2 linked regions of the Macaca fascicularis genome follow. The protein of the gene in region 1 purifies or fractionates together with the protein of each later gene. This does not show direct contact. Links are inferred from orthologs where the notes say so. Each region holds a gene or a part of one and is shown on either strand. Other genes may lie near its edges.

The links. Proteins that work in one complex are often made in the same cells at the same time.
Region 2: the proteins of H2BC1 (region 1) and TRRAP purify together in Homo sapiens (affinity purification with mass spectrometry; 3 studies listed by BioGRID and IntAct, counting the BioPlex papers as one, with this or other methods). This does not show direct contact. The link is inferred for Macaca fascicularis from reciprocal best matches to the Homo sapiens genes H2BC1 and TRRAP.

What each region holds. Positions count from the first base shown.
Region 1 is NC_088378.1:147,200,143-147,207,956, reverse strand, and holds H2BC1 (histone H2B type 1-A), read left to right. Parts: upstream 1-3,646; 5' UTR 3,647-3,797; coding exon 3,798-4,181; 3' UTR 4,182-6,967; downstream 6,968-7,814. Other genes in the region: H2AC1 (histone H2A type 1-A), read right to left, coding at 3,001-3,396. UniProt on the Homo sapiens protein: Variant histone specifically required to direct the transformation of dissociating nucleosomes to protamine in male germ cells.
Region 2 is NC_088377.1:47,526,796-47,533,960, reverse strand, and holds part of TRRAP (transformation/transcription domain-associated protein), read right to left. Parts: intron 5,902-7,165; coding exon 5,635-5,901; intron 4,036-5,634; coding exon 3,829-4,035; intron 2,982-3,828; coding exon 2,823-2,981; intron 2,729-2,822; coding exon 2,594-2,728; intron 1,126-2,593; coding exon 1,015-1,125; intron 1-1,014. UniProt on the Homo sapiens protein: Adapter protein, which is found in various multiprotein chromatin complexes with histone acetyltransferase activity (HAT), which gives a specific tag for epigenetic transcription activation.

The sequences.
Region 1 (7,814 bases):
AAAAAAAAAAAAATTAGCTGGGTGTGGTGGCAGGCGCCTGTAATCCCACCTACTCAGGAGGCTGAGGCAGGAGAATTGCCTGAAGCACAGGGAGGGGGGCGGAGGTTGCAGTGAGCTGACATGGCACCATTGCACTCCAGCCTGGGTAATAAGAACAAAACTCCGTCCCCGCCCCCCCAAAAAAAAAGGAAAAGGAAAAAAGTGGCATATATTTGTCTCCGTTGCTGCTAAAGTTTTACTGTTAATAGCCAATATTTATTTTTAATTAACAACTCTTAGTAATTTTGGAATTACACCAATCACATAAAAACCTGGCATTAGGCACGAAAAGTGTCATATTAGTCTGATTATAAAAAATAAGTCAGCCAGGCATGGTTGCTCACACCTGTAATCCCAGCACTTTGGGAGGCCAAGGTGGGTGGTCAGGAGTTCGAGACCAGCCTGGCCAACATGGTGAAACCCCATCTCTGCTAAAAATACAAACATTAGCCAGACATGATGGTATATGTCTGTAATCCCAGCTACTTGGGAGAATGAGGTAGGAGAATCGCTTGAATCCGGGAGGCAGAGGTTGCAGTGAGCTGAGATCAGGCCACTGCACTCTGGGCAACAGAGGAAGTCTGGCGGGGGGGGGGGGGGGGGGGGGGCGGGGGGGGGGAAGAGTCAATATCACCATTTTTATTTATTATCACTTATAACTATTCGACAATGCATTTAGACAAGAAAGTCAACTATTTAAAACAATAGGACAAAATTATATGATTTTCCTGCCTACCTGGAAAACCACAAAGGAAAAAAGCTGGACAACAGAAATGACAGAATTTAATAAGGAAGGAAATACAAATCAGTATAAAAATCAAGAATGTTCTATTTGTAAAACATGGTCAATCAGAAAACATAATAAAGAAACCCTTCTAATATTTCCCCAAAATACACTAATAAAAAAGAATAGCTGGAGATAAATTCTATGAAACGTGTGAAAGTTCTGTAAGAAGAAATCAAGGCTGGGTGCGGTGGCTCACACCTGTAATCCCAGCACTTTGGGAGGCTGAGGTGGGCGGATCACCAGAGGTCAGGAGTTGGAGACCAGCCTGGCCAACATGGCAGAACCCCGGCTCTACTAAAAATACAAAAATTAGCTGGGCATGGTGGCAGGCGCCTGTAATGCCAGCTACTCAGGAGGCTGAGGTAGGAGATCACTTGAACCTGGGAGCTGGAGGTTGCAATGAGCTGAGATCGTGCCACTGCACTCCAGCCTGGGTGATAGAGAAGACTCTGGCTCCAAAAAAAGAGAAGAATCAGAAACTTCTATAAGTAAATTGTTTTGAAAAATCAAGGGGCATGTCTCCTTTAACATGTATTCACCATTTTTTATACATTTTATTCTATCTAAACATTTAATGTAATTTTAATAGGATTGCATTAGATATGGAAATAAAAGTATTATGTAGTGCATTTGGAATAAAAGAATATGAAAGTTCTCTCCTATAAAGTCAAGTCCCTCTTCTTCTGCCTTTCCATACTTTGCTTTGGCACGTCTGGAGAGTTAAGTGCCACTTCCTTGACAAAGTATATCTACATTAATTACTTGGAATTCATCTGTTTAGATTTATCTTATATCCTGATTTGAAGTTTCACATTTGCCATGTTCTAAATATTACCCAGTTTTATTCAACATATAGTTGCCATTTCTGTTTTCAAAGATCTTCAGTTTTTTCCTTCTCTAATTGCATCCCTTACTTATTATTTATGCAGGTTAATTCAAGGGATAACTGACTTTTGTGACTTGATTGTCCTTACTTGGCATGTTTTATTTTATAGAACTTTACCTGCTTCTATATATGCCTTATTATGTGTAGATATCAAGTGTTTAGCAGTTTTTTTTTTTTTGGTAACCAAATGAGATTTTTTTTTTTTTTTGAGGTAAGGGCAGCTGTTGAATATCGTACAGTAATTTTTAGTTATTTGGCAGCGTTACTGAATGGGTTTTGCTTTTCAATTTCTCTTGGTGTTACAGCACAAACAGCAAACACAGATCAACAAACTATTTTGCCTCTTTTTAGTAGTCAAAACTTTTGAAGCATATACTGTTCCGAAATTTCTAAACTTCAAGTTATGTTAGGCCTTCTAGTCCTATTCCTGCCTGAGTCTGACACTAGTATCTCACCATCACATATGGTGTAAGGCTTTTTTTTAACATATCTTACATTTTAAGAAATAATTCTATTATTCTTTACAAAGTGCATGAAGCCACAGGTATCAAATATATATATGCTTACCCAAATTTTAAGATTAACTTATTTTACTTACACGTCACATTTGAGTATTTCGTGAGACTGCCATATTTGAAAGGAAATTCTTCTCTAAAATGTACTTTAAGCAACCAGCCAGACTAATGTCGCCTGGATTTGAACTCTAAGGTTATACCTCTTCTGTTTGTAATGCAATCTTCACTTCCATACGTAACCCTTAACATGACATACATAGTTTGAGATAGTCTCGCTCACGTCACGCAGACTGGAGTGCAGTGGAACGATCTTCGTTAACTGTAACTTTCACCTCTCAGGCTCAAACAACCCTCCCACCGCAGCCTCCCGTGTAGCTGGGACTACACGCCTGCACCACCAAACCCGGCTAATTTCTGTGAGATAGGGTCTCAATTATGTTAATGGTTAAGTCCCGGGCTTAAACGACCCTCCCGCTTCAACCTCGGGGCAAGTACTGACTGCTCACAAGCGTGAGCTACCTCGCCCAGTGACACGTATAATCAAAACTACCTCAGACATTAATGGTTGATGCAACGGTCCTTGAAAATTCAATCCCCTTACATTCCCGAAATGCTCTTAAACGGGTGTTGCTTCTGACAGGTGCCAGCTAACATGGCTGCTTAACAGCACTTAACGTTCTGTAAGGCACAGCCTTTTCTGAGATGGTAAGTGGCTCTGAAAAGAGCCTTTTGTTTTGACACTTAAAAGTCACTATACCAACGACAGCCCGAAGTTACTTGCTTTGGGCTTTATGGTGGTGACTCTCAGTCTTCTTGGGCAGCAGCACTGCTTGAATGTTGGGCAGGACCCCGCCCTGTGCAATGGTCACGCCGCCTAAGAGCTTATTGAGTTCCTCGTCATTGCGGATGGCTAGCTGCAGGTGGCGGGGAATAATACGAGTTTTCTTGTTATCACGAGACGCATTGCCAGCCAATTCAAGAATTTCTGCTGTCAGATATTCTAACACCGCCGCCAAATATACTGGTGCGCCTGCCCCTATCCGCTCTGCATAGTTTCCCTTACGGAGTAAACGGTGAATTCGACCTACAGGAAACTGCAAGCCTGCTCTAGAGGAGCGAGACTTAGCCTTGGCGCGTGCTTTTCCTCCCTGCTTTCCTCGTCCAGACATTCCTACACAGACGAATTACAGCAACACAAGAATCATTCCTAATGGCGCTACTGGGCCTATTTATAGTCTGACTGAGGTTGGAATTTTTGCTATCTGATTGGCTGATGGCCTTCTACCCAATCAGAAAGTCTGACTAGAATCACCTTATTTGCATTCACGCCACTTCGCATTGTCCAATCAGATTTTGGATGCCCAACACGGCATTTGAGGGCCGTGCCTATAAATACCGCACCTTTCGGCCAGCAGCGATATTCGTTTACTTGGCGACGGTGGGAGTTGAGGTGTTACAGAGCTGTTTAACACTGAAGAGCTGTTTAACACTTAAAAGAGCTGTTAACACTTAAAAGAGCTGTTTAACACCTAAAAGAGCTGTCTAACACTGCAGAAGTGCTGTGGCAGTTATGCCGGAGTTATCGTCTAAAGGTGCTACGATTTCCAAGAAAGGCTTTAAGAAAGCAGTCGTTAAGACGCAGAAGAAGGAAGGCAAAAAACGCAAGAGAACCCGTAAGGAGAGCTATTCTATTTACATCTACAAGGTGCTGAAACAGGTCCATCCAGATACTGGAATCTCTTCCAAAGCCATGAGTATCATGAATTCCTTCGTCACTGATATCTTTGAGCGTATAGCGAGTGAGGCATCACGCTTGGCTCACTACAACAAACGCTCCACCATCTCCTCTAGAGAGATCCAGACGGCAGTGCGGTTACTACTGCCGGGAGAGCTGGCTAAACATGCTGTGTCCGAGGGCACCAAAGCTGTCACTAAGTACACCAGCTCCAAGTAAGCCGGCCAAGTAAACGTCTTTACAACCCAAAGGCTCTTTTCAGAGCCACGTAAACATACTGAAAGAGCTGTGAACTTACTGTATGTTTCTGTGTAAGGCTGTCTTCGTAAAGCCACTCAAAGATAATCAGCTGTGGGCTTAAGGTAGACGAACTAGTTCCAACAAGACCAGCCTGGCGGGGCACCGTTGTTAACGCCTGTGTAATCCCAGCACTTAAAAGGCGGACGCTGGCGGTTCACTCAGGAGATGGAGACCATCTTGGCCAACAAGCTGAAACTCCCATCTCCGCTAAAAATTCGGAAATCAGGTGGGCGTGGTATCGCTTACCGTAGTCCTAGCTTATTGGGAGGTGGAGGCAGGAGAATGGCTTAAACCTAGGAGCCGGAGGTTGCAGTGAGTCGAGGTTGTCACTGCACGCTAGCCTGGTGACAGCGAGACTCTCAAAAACGGTAGTTTGTATAAAAGCTACATCTTGATCGATATTGGTATGTTTAAGGTTAGCATTATGTATATGAAACTACAAAGTGCAGCCACGTAGACAATGTTACTTGCATTATGATCCCAAATTTTTATAGACCTCCCAAAAAGGCAGTAGTTGAGAGGAAGTTACGTTTTGTGCCACAGGTAAGTCAAGGTGTGGAAATCATTTTGGGAACTCTGGAGAACTCCCAAATCTGATTTGCAGGAATGAAACAGATTTAAAGTGTCTTGTAATTTTCTTAAATTTATAATAGTTTCCTTAATTGTCGTGTTAACTGGTTGTTGACCTCCATCTGTAAGGGCTCTCAAGCATTAAACTGATTTCAGCCACCTTAAAAACGAATCAAATGTTACTTCTTGGAAACCTGGTTAGCTGGAATTCTCAATCTGTTTAACGCATGTTCATTTAACCTTTTAATGAAATTTTGGATGTGTATATGTGCTTGCTTTAAAAAGTTAGTACCGGGCGGGCGCGGTGGCTCACGCCTGTAATCACGCACTTTGGGAGGCTGAGGAGGGCAGATCATGAGGTCAGGAGATCGAGACCATCCTGGCTAACACGGTGAAACCGTCTCTACTAAAAGTACAAAAAATTAGCCGGTCGTGGTGGCACGCGCCTGTAATTGCAGCTACTCAGGAGGCTGAGGCAGGAGAATCGCTTGAACCTGGGAGGCAGAGGTTGCAGTGAGCCGAGATCATCCCACTGCACTCCAGCCTGGGTGACAGAGCAAGACTCCGTCTCAGAAACAACAACAAAAGAATATATCGATGTACAAGACCTGTTAAAATAAGTGCCCCCACACTTTTGTGAACAGTAAGGCAGTTCCTGCAAAGCCCCTGCGTGCTTTAGCTGGGAAATCTTCCAAGGAGGTGACAAATTGGGGGGAAGGGGCATCTAGCATCTATGCTCACCTTGTACTGGGGATGGGATCATCTCCAGTCAGGTATTCATGCTTCTCTAACACCTTGGAAAACAGCAGGTATCACATAACTGCCAAATAACCTGTCAACTTTGTGACCACTGTCAGTAGACTATCCTGATTATCCAAGGACTTTTAGGCTTATTTGGGCAATAGATAAGTAGGAATACCAGCAAATAAAAACTCTTTTTCAGACTAAACTTCATGTAGCTTTTATATCGATGTATTTTGGCTCCAAATAACAGGAAATGCTAGCTGGACTGGTTGAGATAATAAGTAATGCAACCAAACAGGACAACCTAAAGGCAGAGAAGTTCCACCAATAGGATGATCACAGCCCTGGCTCCACTACCCTGCAGTCTTGCCTCTGCCCTTCTCCCCATTGTGATTTTGCCATCATACTGGTCACAGTTCCAAGTGTTCATGCAGAGATGATAAAGTAAAGGCAGGAAGAGTCACTCTATTCCACTGGGTCTTGGATTGAGAGCAAAAGGAGTCTTCCCAGAGGACCCATTCCTCTCAGGTCCGTTTTCTAGAACTGAGCCTAGTTCAGGTGCTGCCTGAGTCATTCACCTACAGAAGACCACAGGATGGGTGTGAACTGATCATCTACCTTCATACATATTTGGCATTTTAAAAAGTTAAATATAGTTCTGGGTACTTTGTTTTTGTTGTTAATGAGGTATTTCCTATTCATTATTCTTTAACATTTTGTTGTTATATATGTAACACTGCTTTCTGTGCATTTTTATTATTTTTTATATCCTTCTAGTACCTCACTGAATTGACTGACTTTGCTATTGGTTTCCTGGTAGATTTTCTTGAGTTTTACATGTCTGCAATACAGGTTGAGCATCCGTAACCCAAAAAGCTCCAAAATTCAAAACTTTTATTGTATGATGGGTTTCTTTCCTAGTCTAGCTGATCCTATACACAGCTTAATATAAATTTCTATGTACATGCAATAAAATATGTTTAATATTATTAATGAAACAATGCCAGATTGAGTTTTCAAAATATTTAAAAAATGTGTGATATAGTAATATTTGTGCTTCAAATAAGATTGAAAATTATATTTTAGTGCATACATTGTGGAAAACACTATAGAATTTCCTCAAAAAATTAGAAATAGAACTACCATATAAATCCAGCAATCCTACTACTGGGTATATATTGAAAGGAAATAAAATCAGATTCTCAAAGAGATATCTGTACTCCCATGTTCATTGCAGAATTATTCTCAATAGACAAGATGTAGAGAGAACATAAATGTCCATCAGCAGACGGATAAAGAAAATGTGGCATATATACAAAATAGAATACTATTTGGCCTTAAAAAAGAAAAAGAATCCTGTCATGGGCAGCAACATGGATGAACCTGGAGGATGTTAAGTGAAATGAGCCAGGCACAGAAAGACAAATGCTGTATGATCTCATAAGTGGAATTTAAAAAATGTTGAACTCATGGAAGTAGAGAGCAGAGTGGTGGTTACCAGTGGCTACAGTTGGGGAGTGGTGGGAAGATATTGGTCAAAGGATATGAAATTTCACTTAGGAGGAATAAGTTGAAGAGCTCTATTGTACAATATGCTGATTATAGTTGGTAACAATATGTTCTATTCTTGAAAATTGCAAAGAAAGTAGATTTAAGTGTTTCCATAACAAAAAATATGTGGGGTAATGCATATGTTAATTAGATTGATTGCTATTCCGCAATGTATATATATTTCAAAACATCATGTTGTACACAGTAAATGCATGGTTTTTATTTGTCAATTTAAGAAATGAAAATAGTTGGGCAGAGAGTGGATTTTAGGGAGGCAAGATTAAGAGCAGTGAGATTAATTAGAAACTGTAATTCAGGTGAGAGATATGAGTATGCAGACAAAAATGGTAGCTGTGGAGATGGTGAATAATCGACAACAGAAATATGTAGGAAGTAAAATTACCATATCTTGAGAGATTGAAGTGAATAGAAGTTGAACAGAGACTATTAGAGAAAAAATACATTTCTGGTTTGGACAACCATGTGAATAGGGTGGTACTCATGGATGTAGAGAACACAGATGTCCAGGAAAGAGTTCTGTTGGAATCATCTGGAAATCCCTGTGGAGAGAATTCTTAAGTGGCTAAGCAACATTAAGAACTGTGATATTGAGTAAGCAGTTTACTGGAGTTCACAGAGACGCAGAAACCTGCGGCTTTAAACCTCAAATCCCAGCAGATAAAGGGG
Region 2 (7,165 bases), on another chromosome or scaffold:
CCCCATAGGACCTCCCTGCACATTGCAGGGAGGCAAGGAATTATCTATTGGTTAGGTACTTAGCAGATCCTTTTCAGTACTTGGAGATTCTCAACAGAACTCTAAGATATACTATTTTGTTTAACAGGAATAAGAACTTAAAATTTAGGAAAATTTCATTTACAATGGTTTTTCGAAATATAAAGTTTCAGAAATGAATTTCCAAAAATTCTATGAAGATACAGATTGATATGAATGATAAATAAACCCAAGTTATTAAAGCACTGAAACTGCTAAATGTCCATTCTTTCTGTAGGTTGGATCATCTCATCCTTTACTGAACTGTGTACCATTCCCATCTTAAGGATGCAAAAAGAACACCTGGAAGTTAAACAATCAGCCGAGATCACGGTCTACCATATTCCACCAATGCTAACATGCCGTCAATTAGAAGGCACAGCATTATTTTATTACCACTGAAAGAGTGAAAGGCTTTTTAAAAAAATCATATCAGGCTGGGCACGGTGGCTCATGCCCGCAATCCCAGCACTTTGGGAGGCCAAGGTGGGCGGATCACTTGAGGTCAGGAGTTCGAGACCAGCCTGGCCAACGTGGTGAAACCCCATATCTACCAAAAATACAAAAATTAGCTGGGCGTGGTGGCAGGTGCCTGTAATCCCAGCAACCCAGGAGGCTGAGGGACGAGAATCGCTTGAACCTGAGTCGAAGTTGCAGTGAGCCAAGATCGCACCACTGCACTCCAGCCTGGGCAACAAAGCGAGACTCCAATTCAAAAAAAAAAAAAAATATATATATATATATATACACATCTCAATTATAAGACATAGGTAGATTTAGGAAACGTTAACCTGCCACAAAATCAAGTGCATGTGGTATGAAAATGACAGAACCAGCTCGCAGACCTTGGTTTGTCTGTATCTTTTTTGACGAAACGGTCACAGATAACCTCCTGGGGTATTAGTCAGTAGCCTCCAGTCTGCAGAAGCCCTAACACAAGGCACTCGGATCCTATACCTGACAGGCCACGCGGATGAGGAAGTTCACCACAGTGTCTGTGTGCTGCTTGTCAATGGGCTTGGCGAGGAGAGAGTCCGCTCCAGGTAGTGACTGGCTCCTCCCAAATACCTGGAAAAGGACCTCCTTTCAGGCAGGAAGATAATCGCAACATGAATTTCCAACCCAGGCTTGACTTTTCACCCAGCTAATGGGTATGCGATACCTCCCGGGGACAGAGGCAGATCTGGACGCTCGGGATACCAAAGACAGATGTGGTCTCTGCCCTGGTGAAGTTGACACAGCCAGCAGGAGGGCAGATGGCTAGTCAACAGAGCAGCCATGCAAAATAGTGGCTCATGTGATGGGGAACAAAAGTGCCAAGGCCCAGGATAACATCAAGGGAGGTCTTTAGGTTGAGACAAAGGCGGCCATGAGAAAAAAGAAGAGAGACGGCTCCCAGTGGAGAGAAAAGGCCAGGGTACACATCCTGAGTGAGCACAGGGCCAGAACCAGGGGTGCGTTTAGAGCAGAGGGATAGCCCGCGTGGCCGAGCACCGAGATGGTGCTGGGGGCCAAGAGCCATCGGCAGGGCCTGGTCACCCAGGCCTGGAGTGCCAAGGTCAAGGGGAGGGCTTGAGCAGGGGGAACGGCAACCTGCCTTGTTTCAACTTTTTATTTCCAAAGGATTATAAGATCCACAAGAGATTTTTACAAAAACACTACGGAGGTCTCATGTACCCTTCACCCAGCTTCCCGATTCAAGTTGCGAAAGGAAACTTTTGTAGAAGTCTGACTGCTTTGTGAAAAATCAAGAGGGAGTAAAAGTGGAGGTGGAGAGAGGAACAGGGAAAGAAAGAAGAACAGGGAGGCAGTTGAGCAGCTCCCATCTGTCACCCTGCAAGGGGTGACAGAGGCTGGGACCACGGTGTGGAGGCAGGGATGGGTTATTTGCGGCAGAGTCAGTGAGACTTGCTCCGGACCGGATGTGTGGAGAGAGGCCAATGGACAAAGTGCAGACAGTGCCAGGTTTCTAACAGGAGCCGAGGGCAGATGTGGGTGCCACACAAGATGTGGGATGGTGAGGGTGGGAGAAGAGCTCAGCCTCAGGCCTACGAAGCCGGAAGTGGGGCAGCCAGGCCTGTGTCCACAAGCCAGCAGGTCCATGACACCAGCTGAGGTCAGACTCAGGGCTCCTAGGGCCACCATTCCACAAGGGGCAATACCCAGGACCCTCTTGGTGGCTGCCTCGTGAAACAGAACACATGTCCTTTTCAGAAACTGATCTCAGCACAGGCACATGTTCTTAATCAACTCCTTACTTCAAAGAGTTTCTCTAGATGCCTTTCTGCAAGTAATCAACCATCATCGACAGAACTTTAATGGTATGAACTGAGCGCAGAGGCAAGCATGTCTGGTAACCTGGGAACCCCTGGCATGAGTGACATGTCCTGGAGTTTCAATCTGGTAAGCATAGCTGTTCCCAGCTGCCTCTCCTAAATGCAGCTGGGCACCGAGCTCACATTCTAAATGTAGGGAATAAACGAACCAACTCCCAGCAGACTGCGCAGCACCCATACAGAGGCACACGTGATCTTACTGCACTGATAGCTCCGGTGGCCGTTCTAAAGCGTTTCACTTCCTGGGCAGAATCCACGGACAGGCCTCTCTTAATGGAGGATGAGACAGAATTGACTCCTTCTCCACTGGAATTTGGGTCCATATCTGAATCCGGCTTAAAAACACACAGGCGCTTGGCTTTACTGATTGATTTCTAGGGAGAAGTCGAAGGAAGACGATCGGGGCACCCCCAAGGCTGACACCCCTACCTGCTGGTCCTTGATCCTCTGCAGCTCCCACTTGATGACAACTTCAGACAGGTCCACGGCCAGCCGCCTCTGCTCGATGGTGACACTGGGCGTGAAGCCCAGCCTCTGCATGGCGCTCACCATGTGCTGCACCAAGTGGTGCCGTACCGGGTAGTACACCTGCGGGCGCAGGGCCAGCATCACGCCGGGAACATGGGACCTTGGTCCCAGAGCGCATGCACGTGTGTGCACGTGCACACACACCCCCCCGTGACGTGCCTCTCAGCCCCAACATACACACACAACCCAACCTGATGCTCAAGAATTCGGAATCCTAACCTTACCGAGGAAATTCTCACTGCCTTACGTATGTGTGTTTATCACCCTCCCCCGCCCCAATCACATCTCATTACAATAGTATTCTTCAGTCTTGAAAAATCAAATTCTCTTCAGACAGGAAGCTGAGTCTAATCACATGTATCAAACTTCAGACTTGACAGTGTAAAAGTTTAAGACATACCAAAAAGCAAAGTTCCTCTAAGAGGTGGCTATAAAAGAATTTGCTTTCAACTCAATCCTTTCTCTTCTACCCCAAATCTACAAGAAACATTTACATATAAATAAATCCCACAAAAGGGGTGATTTGGTCATAGAGAAGGAGGTGCCAGCAGCATGAGTAACTTTCCAAGTCAGGTGACGGAAATCTGGAGTCAATGAGGACTATCTCCCACCTTAAGGTGCAAACTCAGCAGCATACAAGGGTTAACTAAGCACAGTATTTATGACAGAAATGTAGCCTTAGATGCAAAGATGCACACACCTGTGACATATTCTCTATATTACAGCAATTTCCATGCTGATAAAGCCATACACACATACACAAACTAATCACATAAACTAATCAATGAACCAGAAGTAACCTTACTAAAAGATGAACCACCTGATTATTGCAGAACAAGACAAGGTGAAGGTTCAGAGCGAATGCCTGAAGATGCATGCCCCGCAGCCCGCTGTCCCTCCTACACACCTTGAAGTGTTGCACTATCAGGTGCAGAATGTGGACCAGCTGCGGGACGGTGTGCCCCTCCTCTACGATGATTTTCCGGGTCCAGTGGGTCAGCATCTGGTGCCCGTCCTCCATCCTGGCCGGCACCGCCGGGGTCAGAATGGCCATCGCCTGTCTGACGATCGCTCGAGCTTCCATTGCATGAGCCTTGAGGAGACTATGAAAAACCTAAAACAGGGAAGAGACACTTATTGAGGATGAGAAGGCAGGCTTTAAAAAACAAGAAGACAAACAATCCCTTGGTATCGAGACATGATACTTTTCCAAAACAATTTTCTAAAAATTTCTTAGGAGTTTCTTATTAGGAAACAACTTAGTTGCTTTCTGTTTCATTAAGACCAGAATACATTTCGTTAATACCAATGAATACATTCATTCTAGTATTTAAAATGCACCTACTATGCGCCTGTGCTGAACTAGGCCAGGGTATGCAGACAGATAAGACCAAGTCCCTGCAGGGATCCCACGTCCCACCTAACCAGCAGCGAGTTAGGGAGGTACACGGCTCATCTCCCTCCGGCTGCGGGATGGGAAATAAAGTAAACAGGGCCAAAAGGAGAGGCGCTGAGAAGCAGCAGCTGTAGTCACTCAAGTTTGAGAGGTGAGGCCCTGATGTGAGGTCATGGGAAAGCAGAGAAGACCAGTCCTGAGGGTGGAGGTGACAGGGTGGGTGTTAGAAGCTGCAGAACCTGCTGGTGCCTGGGCACTGGGGAAGAGCAGAGAAGGTCACAGAGTTCTTGAGTGTTTACCTCTGAGACAACTGGAGGAGGGCAGTGCAGCCCCGAGGCTGGAGTTCTAGCTCAAGGGCTCATGGGAGGGGATGTGAGAGGCCACTGGCTTGATGGGGGTGCAGAGTTCAACAGAGGTTCACAAGAGAAAGATGTCAAGGGAAAGCCATCAAAGATGGTCTCATGGAAGAAAAGAACTATCAGTGATCAAATGCTGCAAGCTCGAGTGGAGTATTACATTTAATTCTCACACAGAGACATTAACCTGCCAAAGGGCACACACCGCGTGAGCGGAAGAAACAACACTCAAACCCGGGGTGCCCGACCTCAGAGTCCAGACCACCGAGGGACTCCAGGAAGAGGTGCTCAACACAAGCTGCACGGCAGCAAGCTCATGAGATACGGATCCAAAGGTACCTATTGTCTCTGGCTAAGAGAAGTGGGCTAGAGCCCCTGAATATTATAACATCTGCCATGGAATGTCAGAGTCAGAAGCTAAAATGCAACGGACAGAGAAGCTTGAGATGGAAAGGGTGGCCTTTCCTTTTAAAAGCAAAGTTGTCGAGGAATGAGAGAGCAGAGCAGGAATGGGGGAGGAAGGGAGAGCGTGGACAGTCACGGGAGGGCTCACAGCGTGGGGTGTTTTCCCCACAAATGGTAAAGCACACATAACACGGAATGTACCATCTTACCTAGTTTTGGGTGCACAGCCCAGTGGCGCTTGGCACCTTCACACTGTGTGCAGCCACGAGCCCCACCATCTCCGGAACGTTTGCATCTTCCTAGGCTGAAACTCTGCACCATTCAATACTCACTCCCCACCCCCTCTCCCCGCCCCCCGCAATCTCCATTCTACTTTGTCTCTCTGAATTCGAGTGCCCTAGGGTCTTCTAAGTGGAATCACAGAGTGTCTATGTTTTCACGGTTTTCATCGGTATTGGGAAAAGACAACAGGAGAGGCTGAGACTGCGCCAGGGAGCCAAGTCACCACGTGGGATTCACGTGGATGTCGGTGGACAGGAGGGGGCTTGCAAAATACCTGCAGGACGATCTTCTTGTGGATGGCGAATTTGGCGATAATGTGCGCCAGGAGCAAGTGTCCGCTGTACTTGCAGGCCGGGTCCACGCAGGCCTTGGAGAGCAGGCAGGGCCAGGCAAAGGTCATGAGGCGGCGCAGCTTGCTGTTGCGGTTCTTGTTGTTGTCGTGGATGTGGTGGGGGGCGTGCTCCACCAGCAGCGTGGCGTACTGCAGCAGGTAGATCCGCAGCGAGTCCAGCATGTCCGCCTGCTTCTCGGGGTCCAGGACCTGTGCAGGGACAGCGGGAAGGACTCATTTCCAGTTGTGAACTGGGTTACTGACTGAGGGTCACACAGCAGGTTTAACCCTTAAAAATACATACATACATACACACACACACACAGTATGTAACGTGAAGTTTTACAATGATATCAATAACATCTTATCCATTTTTCTTCATATATATGTGAAAGGAGAAAAAAACCTCAGGACCCCAGTTGGCTCTGCCCAATGGAAAAAATTAAGCTGAAAGCTGAGTCATGCAAGAAACTGGCTCCTTTTGATGCTAAGCAGAGCTACAGATGAAAGGTTAATGATCTCCACAGGTAACGACCCCGTGTTCACCTTATCTTATATAAAGTGCTGGCTTACTGAGCGTGAGATGAACACAGAACTGACTCTTTCCCCACCTGCTCCCCTTCTTTGGCAATGTGTGGATGACCACACCCGCCCCCTTTCCCCTTCAGCCGACTTTCCCCCTTCAAACACTGAAGCCCTCAAAGCCATTTTTAGAGAAAGGCACAAATGTCTCTCCCGGACACATCCTGAACTTTGGCAAAATAAATTTCTAAACCGACTGAGATCCATCTCAGGTACTTTTTGGTTTACATATGGATTAGAAATCCACCAAATTCATTTCAACATTTAAATAGGGTAGGCTTAAGAGTCAGGATGCAGGGGCTGGAGGAGGGTGAGGTGGGAAAAGAAGACTTCTTTGATTCAAGGTGATTTAGGACTGAGTTTCTTAATTTCCAAATAGTTGAGATTTTTTTTTCCCGGCCAACTTTTGTCTACTCCTTATTTTTCTGCATGATGATCAGAAAATGTGACCTGGAAAAATGTCTACTTTCAAAAAATTGTTGCAGTTTTGAAAGCATCTGACAGATTTTTTAAGTGTTTCACGGACATAAGAAAAAAAATGTACCTTGTGTGAGGAATATTCTACACGTCTCTATTAAATCAAGTATAATGGCAGCATCATTCAGTTCAACTTAGTATCCTAACCACTGTCTATCTACCAGGTCTTAATAATTCTGAAAAATGGACAGACTGAAGTCTTCCATTATAATCATGTTTTTATCAAGGTCCCTTTTAGCCCCAAGGTCCTCTCTTCCCTAGATGTACTGCTTCTTGGCAGGCCCACACCTGCATCTGTAGCCTCCAGCCTGCCAGCTCCTTTTCTCCTCATCCTGACGTTCAAAATCCCTATAGCAGCAGCATCTGACCCAGGAGACACAGCCTGGAGAAGGTAACAAAGGGGAAGGGGTCCCGT